Arabidopsis thaliana: one gene and its partner. Each later gene encodes a partner of the first gene's protein in a complex. Each region holds a gene or a part of one and is shown on either strand. Other genes may lie near its edges. A codon is read from its position in the direction of its gene.

The links. The genes of interacting proteins can lie anywhere in the genome.
Region 2: the proteins of FRO1 (region 1) and EMB1467 are in contact, whole or in part, in a cryo-EM structure (PDB 7AR8), measured with the Arabidopsis thaliana proteins. Residues at the interface, in NP_201560.1 of Arabidopsis thaliana: Ile55 (codon at 2,914), Tyr57 (codon at 2,920), Ser58 (codon at 2,923), Pro59 (codon at 2,926), Ala60 (codon at 2,929), Arg61 (codon at 2,932), Thr62 (codon at 2,935), Ala63 (codon at 2,938), Thr64 (codon at 2,941), Gln65 (codon at 2,944), Ser66 (codon at 2,947), Ser68 (codon at 2,953), Leu71 (codon at 2,962), Val79 (codon at 2,986), Thr81 (codon at 2,992), Leu82 (codon at 2,995), Lys83 (codon at 2,998), Glu85 (codon at 3,188), Thr92 (codon at 3,209), Asp103 (codon at 3,242), Lys126 (codon at 3,311), Lys128 (codon at 3,498), Lys129 (codon at 3,501), Asn131 (codon at 3,507), Thr132 (codon at 3,510), Pro133 (codon at 3,513), Leu134 (codon at 3,516), Leu135 (codon at 3,519), Lys136 (codon at 3,522), Val137 (codon at 3,832); in NP_568550.1 of Arabidopsis thaliana: Gly61 (codon at 3,857), Gly62 (codon at 3,854), Ala63 (codon at 3,851), Arg64 (codon at 3,848), Val65 (codon at 3,845), His66 (codon at 3,842), Lys87 (codon at 3,779), Gly88 (codon at 3,776), Phe89 (codon at 3,773), Thr90 (codon at 3,770), Gln93 (codon at 3,761), Glu96 (codon at 3,752), Val97 (codon at 3,749), Asp101 (codon at 3,737), Arg104 (codon at 3,728), Tyr107 (codon at 3,719), His108 (codon at 3,716), Ser109 (codon at 3,713), Leu111 (codon at 3,707), Ser112 (codon at 3,704), Ile113 (codon at 3,701), Ala135 (codon at 3,635), Gln175 (codon at 3,410), Glu178 (codon at 3,401), Cys179 (codon at 3,398), Asp180 (codon at 3,395), Asp183 (codon at 3,386), Asp266 (codon at 3,041), Lys288 (codon at 2,975), Ala289 (codon at 2,972).

The regions. Positions count from the first base shown.
Region 1 is NC_003076.8:26,955,469-26,960,527, forward strand, and holds FRO1 (NADH-ubiquinone oxidoreductase-like protein), read left to right. Parts: upstream 1-2,446; 5' UTR 2,447-2,604; coding exon 2,605-2,763; intron 2,764-2,910; coding exon 2,911-2,999; intron 3,000-3,183; coding exon 3,184-3,313; intron 3,314-3,494; coding exon 3,495-3,524; intron 3,525-3,831; coding exon 3,832-3,888; 3' UTR 3,889-4,089; downstream 4,090-5,059. Other genes in the region: DG1 (Tetratricopeptide repeat (TPR)-like superfamily protein), read left to right, coding at 1-12; TRB2 (Homeodomain-like/winged-helix DNA-binding family protein), read right to left, coding at 375-734, 832-915, 989-1,073, 1,158-1,378, 1,456-1,605; WIH1 (cysteine-rich TM module stress tolerance protein), read right to left, coding at 4,286-4,331, 4,469-4,625, 4,713-4,758.
Region 2 is NC_003076.8:14,894,882-14,901,526, reverse strand, and holds EMB1467 (NADH-ubiquinone dehydrogenase), read right to left. Parts: upstream 4,118-6,645; 5' UTR 4,038-4,117; coding exon 3,617-4,037; intron 3,512-3,616; coding exon 3,265-3,511; intron 3,169-3,264; coding exon 2,874-3,168; intron 2,795-2,873; coding exon 2,420-2,794; intron 2,075-2,419; coding exon 1,179-2,074; coding exon of another isoform or gene 1,175-1,178; exon of another isoform or gene 1,093-1,174; coding exon 1,080-1,092; 3' UTR 880-1,079; downstream 1-879. Other genes in the region: GORK (gated outwardly-rectifying K+ channel), read left to right, coding at 6,644-6,645.

The DNA.
Region 1 (5,059 bases):
AAGAAAGAATGAAAATGCTTGTAAATTTCCTCAAAATCTTTAGTAGAACAAAATCTCAATTTTTTTGCTTACTCATCTCACTTCAAAATAGTTTCAAGGTTACTAAACAGATCATCCACATACAATAAAAGATCAGTTATACAGAATCTCAGATTCGGAGAAAGAACATACATATGATCAAACTGCGGATTTACACTGTTACTAACCAAAAAAAGAGAGCAGATAGGTTTGGAAACTTAAAAAACTCTGCAGGTGATGAGATATCGCCTGATTCAAGATCGGCACTCTTAAGAAACCAGTAAACCCACTAAGTATATATATTTTATGGCTTGCTTTGTTACAGAACTTCCCCATGATGGCTATTTCTTTCTGTTTCACCAAGGATGATTACGGATCCTGAACTTCAAAGCTTTCATGGCTGCCTTTGCAAATATCTGAGCAGCTTCAGCTTCTGCTTCTGCTCTTTCTGCCTCTTTTGCTGCTTGTTCAGCCTCTGTGATAGCAAATTCTGCCTCTGCAACTGCTCTTGCTGCAGCCTCTGCAGCTTCTTGAGCTGTCATGCCTTTTATCATATATAATTCACCGTCTACTCGGAATTTAGTGAGACTGTTGGCACCGTTCTCCTCGGGTTTTGTTGGGTCTTTCTTGTTGTTTCCTTCCAGAAAGAGTTGAGGAGCCTTCTGTCTTGCACCTGCGGGAATAAAATTAGAAGAAAACCTGTACTTGTGCTTTATCTGAAAGTGAGAAATCACCAAGTAAGTATTTTTGAAAATTCTGAGAGTAATGAAGTGTTAGTGATCATGAATCTTGAATCAAAAGTTGTGTGTTTACCTTAACTAATGTTCCATTCGATGATAAATGCTTTAATCGTACTGCGACATGCCTTTTCATATTCGGTGGAGTCTTGAAATTCTCCTGAAATTTAACAGCTACTAAGTAAGTATGCAACAAACCCCAACCAAACATGTAATCCCAATGGTAGAAATACCTCTATATACAGAAAGATTGATGTTCTGTCAGAACCGCGTAGTTCCCTCAAGTTGGTAATTGCCTCAAAGATGATCTTATCCAAACTACAAAAACAGACAATAGCGCAAGATCAAATCTTTATGAACTCAAGAAAATCGTTATGTGGTGCATAAGTCAGGGAACCAAACCTTGTAATTGATCTCTTAGAAGCACAAGTGCGTGGTGATCCACCACCAGAACCTCCGGGGGAAGTTGGTTTTGCACGTTCATCATCATTAGTCAAAGCCACAATGGTAAGAGCTGTGTTGTTATCATCCTGTTTAGTACCTGGTGGAGTCCTCTTAAGCGCAAGTTTAGCCTTCTTCCTTGAACCCCATAAAGCTGTCACGCTTATATTTCTCCATTTGTCCTGTTATGCCTTGAACTATCAAGATTAGTCCGAAACACGCGATCACAACCTCCAAAAAGCATATTATATTGTATTACCTTAAGATCAACATTAGAGCGAGACTTAAGGATTAAACTAAACTCAGTATCCGAGAGTATGGTACGCCACTTCCCAGTCCCATGCTTAAGAACTCCAGCTTTAAGAGCTGCTTCTTCTTCCGGTGTCCACTTCTGCTTTGGTGCACCCATCCACAGTTATCAATATTTGAATTTCTTCTTTTCTCTGCCAATAGATGTGAACGCTAACATTAGAATCTGTTAAATCGTACGAAACTTAACCACATCAAAGCCATTGTTGAACATTTCTTATCCAATACAAAATTTTGGTCATCTAAATCCAGCAGATACACAAAGCCACAACATAAAAATGTAACTACACAAATCCAAAGAAATTAGATACGCCCCAAAGCTCAATTCAACAAAAAAATGAGTGATTCGAGCAATCTCGAACCAAAAAAAGAGGATCAAAGCCCATTAACAACGTCGCAAATCAACAGGAATTTGGAAATACAGCCATCAATCTAAAGCGATAGCTAAATTATCAACCAAATTCAAATGGGGCGATCGTAGAAAATTAAAAACAAAAATGGAAAATTCAGAGAAGGAAGCAGAAAGGAGGAAGGAGGAGAAGAAGCATGCCAGATCAAACGAAACCAAAGGAGAGTTTTCGAGAGAGAGACTTGATGATGAAAGCTAATTCCTTGTATAGATGTGTCATAGATCAAATGTGATTCGCTGAAACGAACGAAGAAGAAGAAGACCAGAGAGGCTAGCATAAGGAAGAAGAATATCCATAGAAACGAGAAACAAACTTGAGCTTTTCTTTTGTATTCAAGCTAAGGAAGATGTAACCCTATATTTCTCCACATTCACAAATTTGCCTCAAGTTTATCAAATTACACAATAAAACCTACCAACTAAATGAATAGGATCAAGCTGAATAAAATATACTAGTACTATTTTTTAAAAATAATGTATCTATAAAATTTATCGTTGTTAAATCTCACAGATAGTTTAGGGGCTATTAAAGATTTTTCATATAATAGTAAGACCGAAAGCGTAATTTATAAAATTTTGATGGCTAGATTGAAATATGTGTTTTTTTTTTCTTTCTAAAATCTACAGAAGTAGAAGAAACCAAAGCGAAATCAAAAAGCTCAGCAATTTTCCAGATTTCTCTAATTGACGATGGCGCTTTGTGCTACTACTCAAAGGACTATCCGTATAGCGGCGACGCTCCGGCGTGTTGCTCGACCTTTCGCTACTGACGCGGTGGTTGAGTCGGATTACAAGCGTGGTGAGATCGGTAAGGTCTCCGGAATCCCAGAGGAGCATCTTTCTCGCAAGGTAAATAAGCATTCGATTTCTTACGAATTCAGTTTAGAAAATTAGGGTTCGTGATCAGAGAATCGTCTTAATTGAGCTACATCGTGTTCTTGATTTGATTTTGGTCAATCGAATAGTGCTAAGAGTATTGAATTTGGAAATTAACAGGTGATAATATACTCACCTGCTAGAACAGCTACCCAGTCAGGATCTGGAAAACTCGGAAAATGGAAGATTAACTTCGTCTCCACCTTAAAGTATGCTACTTTTTGATTAAGATAATCCTCTTTTCCTCACATTTTATGTCCTAATATGATTCTTATCCTTAAAATTCCTATCTTTTCAAAACTTAAGTCTTCTGCTTGTGACTAGTACTAGTCCATCACTTGTTGATTAGATTTCGATTGACATCACTTATCTATGGCATTCATATGTTTCTAGGTGGGAGAATCCGTTGATGGGATGGACTTCTACAGGTGACCCCTATGCTAATGTTGGTGACTCTGCTCTTGCTTTTGATTCTGAAGAAGCTGCTAAGTCTTTTGCTGAGCGTCATGGTTGGGATTATAAGGTACGTTGTTTCCTTCTTCGTTTTTAGCTCATTTTTTTTTCTGGTCGCATTCACTCACATTTTATGAGAATGTGATGGTTCTGTTTTTTTTTTTTTTCGATCACCATTGTGATGGTTCTGTTTTAAGATCCCTTAATATAGAATTCAGAGTACTGAAAAACTTACATCTAAATCATTGCAGGTCAAGAAGCCCAACACACCATTATTGAAGGTTAGTAACTATCTTTTTGCTAATGCCGCATTATGACTTACGAGCTCTACTCATATGAGGTGTTTAACCCTAAAGCTGGAGATTCACTGGAACGACCCTTGAATGTTGTGTTAAATAGATAGGATATTCTTTAACTTAACTCATATTGCTTCATCAGAAATGGTTTGGTGCCTCTAGTTTAAGATTTAGCTACTAGTTTGACGAGCGATAGTCTCTTTCATTCCTTTGATTTATTTGGTAGAACATTCTTTAGATTGAAGTTTTAACCTAACCCCATGATTGTTCATCATCTAACATCTAACTGCAGGTCAAGTCTTACTCGGACAACTTCAAGTGGAAAGGCAATCCTCAACCAGAAAACTGATGTTACACCTTCTTCCAATTCTTCTCGAGCAAAAGAAGAAACCTCATTTGATATTAATTCTCATGTTTCTTTGTTATTTTAGCATCTGTGAGCTTTTTGGTTGAAAAGAACCATTATCCATGGCTATGTTTACTTATTACAATAATATGATGATGATGATGAAACACACTCCTTTGATATTTCATCAAGATTTCTGATCACTTCTTTACTGGTTTATTTCGAATTCGTGTGATTGGATTATGAAAGAGAGAGATAATTATGGTCGGAGTCAATAAAACATAAGATACCAAAATTCGAATTGAAAGAAGATAACAACAGAAGAAAGATTGTTGAACATTACATAACATATATGAGGAAATAAAAGTTGACTGAGGCAACGTATATAATTATCCTCCGATCAGAAACATGCATCCAAGAGACAGCAACAACAGAGCGCAGCCAAACTGTGACGTATTTATGAACAGAGCAAAGACATATATTAACTAATACAGTATTATTCCACTAAAACCTAAATACAAAGCAAAACAAGAAACCAAAATAAAGTTAATATAAAGTAGAAAAGATGGGATCAAGAACGTACCATCCTTCAAGCATACCGGCGTTTTGCTTCTGCTGCGGAGCTTGAGAGTACTGCGGCGGAGGATAACCTTGTGCAGGGTATCCCTGAGCATATCCTGGCGGTGGATAACCGGCTGGAGGATAACCGGCCGGAGGATAACCGTCCTTAGGTGGATACCCTTTAAACCGAAATTCAAGAGCAAATTAAACAAGCAGATCGAAGAAGATAAACCAACTATCCAAAACTAAAGAAAAAGAGATAATACCTTGGGGAGGAGGAGCACCGACAGGATGTTGTTCTTGATGATACATCTTTCTTCTTCTTCTGAGTTCTTTGAGCTTTTTTTTCTTTCTCTCTTTGTTTAAAAGCAAACTCTGTTCCTTTCCTTTATAACGAAGCTATGCCGGTGAGGAATAATGATATATACTTTTAATTTAATAAAGGAACCAGAAAATAAAGGAAATATTCTTTAAATAAAGTCTTTCTTGCATCATAAAGATTACGATTAAATTTCTTTGAAAATTAGGTGATCTTCTTCTAATGTGCTAGAAACTTGACCGTACAAGAATTTAATTTCAACTACTCTACTACTAGAATCATTAATTATGGAAT
Region 2 (6,645 bases), about 12 Mb from region 1:
TATAAATAACATTAATATTTTCTAGATACACATGATTTCTTTTTCATAAAATTTGAACTATATAATTAACTCATTTTTTTATTAAGTGTTATGGTACATGATTATTGTTATTACATGTATTGTGTATCTGTATAAAAATGTGTAAATCTAGATTACTAACTTATGAACTTAACTTGGTATAATTATTTTATTATATAAACTTTGGTTTTCAAAATTAGTAACTCACATGATTGCGACACGGGTAACTTTCTCGATTAGATATCAACAACTGTTTTATTTTTTTGTTTTCTTTTACAGAAAATAAAAACTAATTAAAAGAATATTTACATATACTAATTATTCTTACCCAAAAAAAACTAACAAAATGTTTTTTACATGTGTTATTGGTCAACAAGATTTGGACATGTATCAAAAAAATCTTATCCATTTAGCATGGATTTTAACCAATAAACAATGTGTTGAAGTTCAAAAAAAAAAAAAAACAGGTTATTTAAAATTAATTAAATTAAATAATTTTTTTGCTTATATTATACTTTTAGATATAAGACCTAATCAGTAAGAAAGCAATTTGATAATAAAAAGTTGGTTGTTTGAGAAAGATAAAAAAAGTTGGATGGATTAATTATCCCAGCTATAAAAAAAAATTGATTGGTTTAGGTAAGTTTTTCTAAAATAAATTTATATGTTACTTGTGATTGTCTTTCATAATCTATCTGAAATTTTCTTTATGACCAATCACAAAGTTGAAACTGAAATGATTTTAGGTAACATAACTTGTCAAAAACAGTTTAGTTCACAAGTGATCATCTCACATTGGAAACCATCTAATCCTTTCAAGATTTGCATTATTTGTAACAATCACAATGGTTAAGAACAAACGATAAAAGTAGAGATTGTATATATCGCCATGCCTCCAAATTCATATATGCAAATGTAAAAGGGAGTCCTAATAAGAACAATACAAGATGCCACAAAGCATCCAATTAACACTGCAAAGTTTTGAATCTAACAATGTGCTTATTGCAAATTGCTTATAGATTTCACCGCAAGCTAAACCCGAGATACAGTGATACTCAGGCTTAAACAAAAGGTCTATAAAGAGGACAGCAAACGAAGAATCAGTATCTTTATTTTTGCGAAAAGAGAGAAAATGTGAAAACCCAAGTTAAAGCTCTCACTTTTTCAAGAGCACGGCACTGCACTGCGCCATGATCTTTGATGCTCTTGTGATCGAGTTTGTCATGTAAAAGTTCTCAACCACGGTTTGGAACGGTGTTGTGCTCATTGCCTCCTTGCACTCAGGCTTCAATGAAGGCCCAAAAGCAGCTGGCTCTCGCTCATCTGTGTGGACTAGATTTGGTGCAACGCTCTTTATTCTTGATCTAACACCTTCGATTGAGTTGTATGGAAGCTTCACACCCGAGACCTCGGATAAGGCTCTCACAATCTTCCAGTCATCTCTTGCATCACCAACTGTTGGAACAGCTGGAACAGTCTGTTGGGTAAATCCTTCAGTATTTTCATAGGTTCCTTCTTTCTCAGTGAAGGCCGATGCAGGGAGAATTACGTTTGCACGGTAAACCGCTTTGTCTCCATGGTGTCCTTGGTAAACCACAAAGGCGTCTTTAGGAATCTTGTCAACATTTACATCGTCTGCTCCCATCAAGTAGACGAATTTTGCAGACTCGAGGGCTTTGGCGGACTGTTGAATGAGACCAAGATCAAGAGCAGCCGCTTGGGCAGCATACTGAAGGAGAAAGTTGAGACCGTTCCAGTCTGGTCGGACAACATTGTTGGCTTGTGCAATGGACTCCACAGAAGAGAGGATAGCATTTTTATCAGTTCTGTTGAAGAGCCCAGCACCAACAATGATTGCAGGGTTTTTGGCGTTCTTGAGAGCCGTACAGAATGGATGCCGTCCCTCAGCAATTTCCTTGAGAGTATCAGGCCCAGTCCCGAGGTGTTTGCAGTCGTAATTGAACTCTGCAGGTGGACCAACATATCCAACCTTGGCATTTGATGCACGGACTGTCTTGCAGATCCTAGCATTCACCATTGCAGCTTCCACCCTAGGCTGGTAAAAATAGACAAAAACTGGTGAATGTACTGCTAAAAAACCTTCACAACTTTGATATCTGGAAGAGCAAGTTTTGCTTGATCTAGATTGGTCTGGATCAGGAATATTCAATACAAGCGAAATGTTAACATCTGATCTGTTTTTTAGAAACTTAATTTTGCTTGTTTCTCCTTTCTATTTGCCTCTGTATTCCAAATTATGCACAGAACCTTAAGCCACACCACTAAATCAAAGTATCAAACTACACAATTTGGTTTTTCTTATGTCATTGTTCCAAATACAGAGCGGTCTGTCTAATCCGGTACCAGAAACCATACAAAAAAGACAGGGTGGAAATCTCACCTGGGTACCGATGAGAAGGAAGAGATCGGCGTTTTCAAGTCCACTGATGCTAGTGTTCATCAGATAACTGTATCTAAGATCAGCATCAACACCAGCAGCTGTTCCTTCACACCATACATTGTCTGAGCCCATTCTGTTAACGAAGTCCTTCAGTACCATCATGGATTCCGCATCAGATAGCTGACCTGCTACTCCAACAATCTCATCTGGCTTCACCTGATGAATGATATCACCCACAACAGCCAAGGCATCACGCCAGCTCACTGCCTTGAATCGTCCATCGGAATCTCGGATCATAGGGTCGCTCAGCCTTTGTCTTTTCAGGCCGTCATAACAGAATCGGGTTTTGTCAGATATCCATTCTTCGTTTATATCCTGAATAAGAACATTCACAAGTTCAACATCCAGCAAAATACTTTTAAAAATAGTGTTTTTGAACAAAAGCATTACATACCTCATTCAGGCGTGGAATGATACGCATTACTTCTGGTCCTCTACTATCAACACGGATGTTGGACCCAACAGCATCACTAACATCAATAGTTTCTGTTGCTTTCAACTCCCAGTTTCTGGCTTTAAAGGCAAAAGGCTTTGAGGTCAAGGCTCCAACAGGACAGATATCAATAACATTTCCAGAGAGTTCACTGGTCATAAGCTTTTCAACATAAGTTCCAATTTCCTCTCCACTACCACGACCTAGTATACCAAGATCCTGAACCCCAGCAACTTCAGAAGCAAATCGTACACACCTACAAAAACATTATACATACAAAACCTAATCAACAGGATAGCGTATCTATCACATTAACTAAAACATCACACTATAAGCAAACTATATTAGTAACCTTGTACACTGGATACACCGAGTCATAACAGTCTTCACAAGAGGACCAAGATTCTTATCAACAACAGATCTTTTCATCTCAGTAAAACGTCCTCTATCAGATCCAAAAGCCATAGACTGATCCTGAAGATCACACTCTCCTCCTTGGTCACAAATAGGACAATCCAAAGGGTGATTCATCAACAAAAACTCCATCACTCCCTCCCTCGCCTTCTTAGCTATCGGTGTATCAGTCTTAATCTTCATCCCTGTTACAAAAACTCTTAGCAATAGCACCAAATCCAAATATATTCCACCAATCAACGATCAAAATCAATCCATCAGCATAGAAATTTTCCTGGAATCGAACTAACCAGGAAGCGCAGGCATGGCACATGAAGCTACAGGCTTAGGAGATTTCTCAACCTCAACAAGACACATCCTGCAATTTCCAGCAATAGATAAACGAGAATGATAACAAAACCTCGGGATATCAACTCCAGCGACCTCACAAGCCTGAAGAACAGTGAATCCTTTAGGGACTTTGACCGCGTAACCATCGACAAAGACCTCGATCGCATCTTCAGGATTCGAGAAGTGGACGCGTGCTCCACCTACAGGGTTTCTAGGAGGGAGAATCTGTGTCGGCGGCTCAGGCTCAGAGACAGCAGCGGATTCAGGAGATTGGAGCTCTGGTTTTGAGACGATTGTGCGGAGGAAGAAATTGGAGGTTTGAGATTGAAGAAGACGTGAAGCTGGTCGAATTGTTCGAGAAGCTAAGATGCCTAAACCCATGGCGTTGTGGATCTGTATCGTCTTCTTCTTCTTCTTCGTCTTCTATGTGTGTATTTCTCGATCTTGTTGTGAGAACTCCTGAAGCATTTGTGCGAGAGAGAAGGAGACACGAATGAGTGAGTTTTGGGCTTTATGGGCTTTTATTTTGGATATTATAATTGGCTTATGAATGAGTGAGTTTTGGGCTTTGTGGGCTTTTTCTTTTCAAACTGAATTAAGTTAATTTTGGGAGATATAGTTTAAGAGTTTTGATGATCTTTCTCTAATTCACTTAATGACATTGAGTTTAAAACAATCTTGCTTCTAGTTCCATACAACATATTAGAACCTCTAGCAAAATAAACCTCTAATCAATCATTAGTCCTAGAGACTTTTAGGTCAATGTACTAATTGAACATTTGTATATTTCAGATAAAGACAACTTAAAATATGGTTATAAATGATGACAATTTTAAACATCTCAACGTCGTCTATTTAAATAAAAGGAAAGAAAATATTGTCAACACCTATGCTGCATCGGTTAAGGTTTACGTGTAAGAGTTAGTTTATTTTCCTCGTTTGTTTAGGTTTACGTGTAAGCATCATTATCAGTGATATTGTTATTAATCTAACCTTTGCAATGACAACCAAAAAAAAAAAAAAATGAAGTTTCATAAGCTTTGATATATATTATCTTATCATTACAGGCAGACATGATAAGTATAATTTAACTCGTTTAATTTGATAGTTTTAGTTATAAATTTACATAGTAATTCGTTATAATTTTAATTATGGGTTTGAATGGTTACGGCGGTTCGGGCGGACAAAACCATCAACGGATCAGACTGTTTTTTATTTACCATTAATCAATTATAGTGCACAGTGGTCCGGACAAAAAAAAAAGAAGAAAACCGCAACAGATCATCTGTGAATCATCCACGAACTATTTTTACATATAAATAAACTTGGTCCACAGCGGTTTATTGTCCGCCTCAAAATAAGGTAGATTAAACCGCATACAAAGTATACCGCTTTGTCCACTGCATCCATTCAAAACTTATAAAGTTATAAGTTATAGCTAATAAATATGACACTTTTTCAAATTGTTATAGATCACTTTAAGAGTGATTACATTCCTCTCTTGTTTTTTTTTGTCAAACAGAGTGATTACATTCCTTTCTTTTTTTTTGTCAAACAGGGTGATTACATTCCTTCTTTTTTTTTTTTTGTCAAAACAGAGTGATTACATTCCAAGGCAAAGAAACATAAGGGAGAACCACTAACTACAATAAAAATTGTTGGGTTAATGGCAAAAGAAAAAAAAGAATTAGTGGTTCTTCTATGAAAAAGAATTGCATCCAATGGAAAGAGGATGTGACCGAGTTGATAAGATATGAAACACAACATATATAGCTTTTTGTTATCAAACTATTTATCGTCTCGTATTTGTTCTAATCTAAACCGAAATACTAATATTTTAAGGAAATACTTTGCGAAAAATAAATAAAAATTCTCACCTTTATTCAATCAAAGCCAAAAATGAAAAAAAAAAATAGAAGCAAGACAATCATATTCATACAACTCGATAAGGTAGTACCTCTAAAGTGCAAAACGAAAACAAGAAATATCTCTGCTATCTCATTCTCGTCAACTAGGAAACTCTGCATAATCTCTCTTTTACACAATGCAAAGAATAAGGTGAAGATGAACTGATTATCTCTAGCGTACTATGAAAGTCAATATTTAGATGCAAATTAGGTGATTTTTATTGTCGATATTCTTCTTTTTCTGGACACGTCCTCATATTCGTGTATATTTAATTTCTTCTCTTGGTTTTATACAAAGCCGACCATTTGGAAAATTTAAAACTAAAAATCTCAAAACCTGATGTAAATTTTGATTTTACTTTAAACAGAAATCCTACGTTAAACATATAGGAAATGCTGTTACACACCCATTAATGTCTATAACTAGTACATCAATTTACAACAGATTTATTGTCTTAAAAAAAAATAACTCCCCCACTTACCCCGTGAATGTTCAAGTACACTAGTCCAGATTAACTTAAATTCGATTATGCTAGAAATGATTCACAAAAACCGGTTTAGGGAATCATCATCCAGATTTGGAGCATCGTAATCTTTTGGTAAATTTTTATTAGCCGTTCGTACAATTCAATTCCAAATTTTAATTTAGATGAGATTTTTTATATTAAAAAAACAATGATATATGTTCGACAATCGACATGTTCTGATGTCCTATATAAATTCGGTCCTTCTAGACAAAACCTTACGTTATACACTTCAACTAATAAAGAGTCCAAACCAAACAAAAAAAAAACAGTAGTTTCTCGACAGAAACAAAATCAATATAGCTTTAACATCACGAGAAAGAAGAACTAAAGAAGACCAAACAAAAAATAATTTGGAAAAAAACAGAGAAGCAGCTCTCGTGATCTTCCCGCCTTTTCTCTTCAACTTGTAAAACATTACAAGATCTATCTTCTACCAAAAAGACGAAGTTTCGAGTGTCAGATTCAAGAGTTGAATCGGGTATTAAACTCTGTTTTTCTAGATCTTTGTGTCGAAGAGATCGCCGGAGATTTCATTTAACCGATTCTTGAAAACAT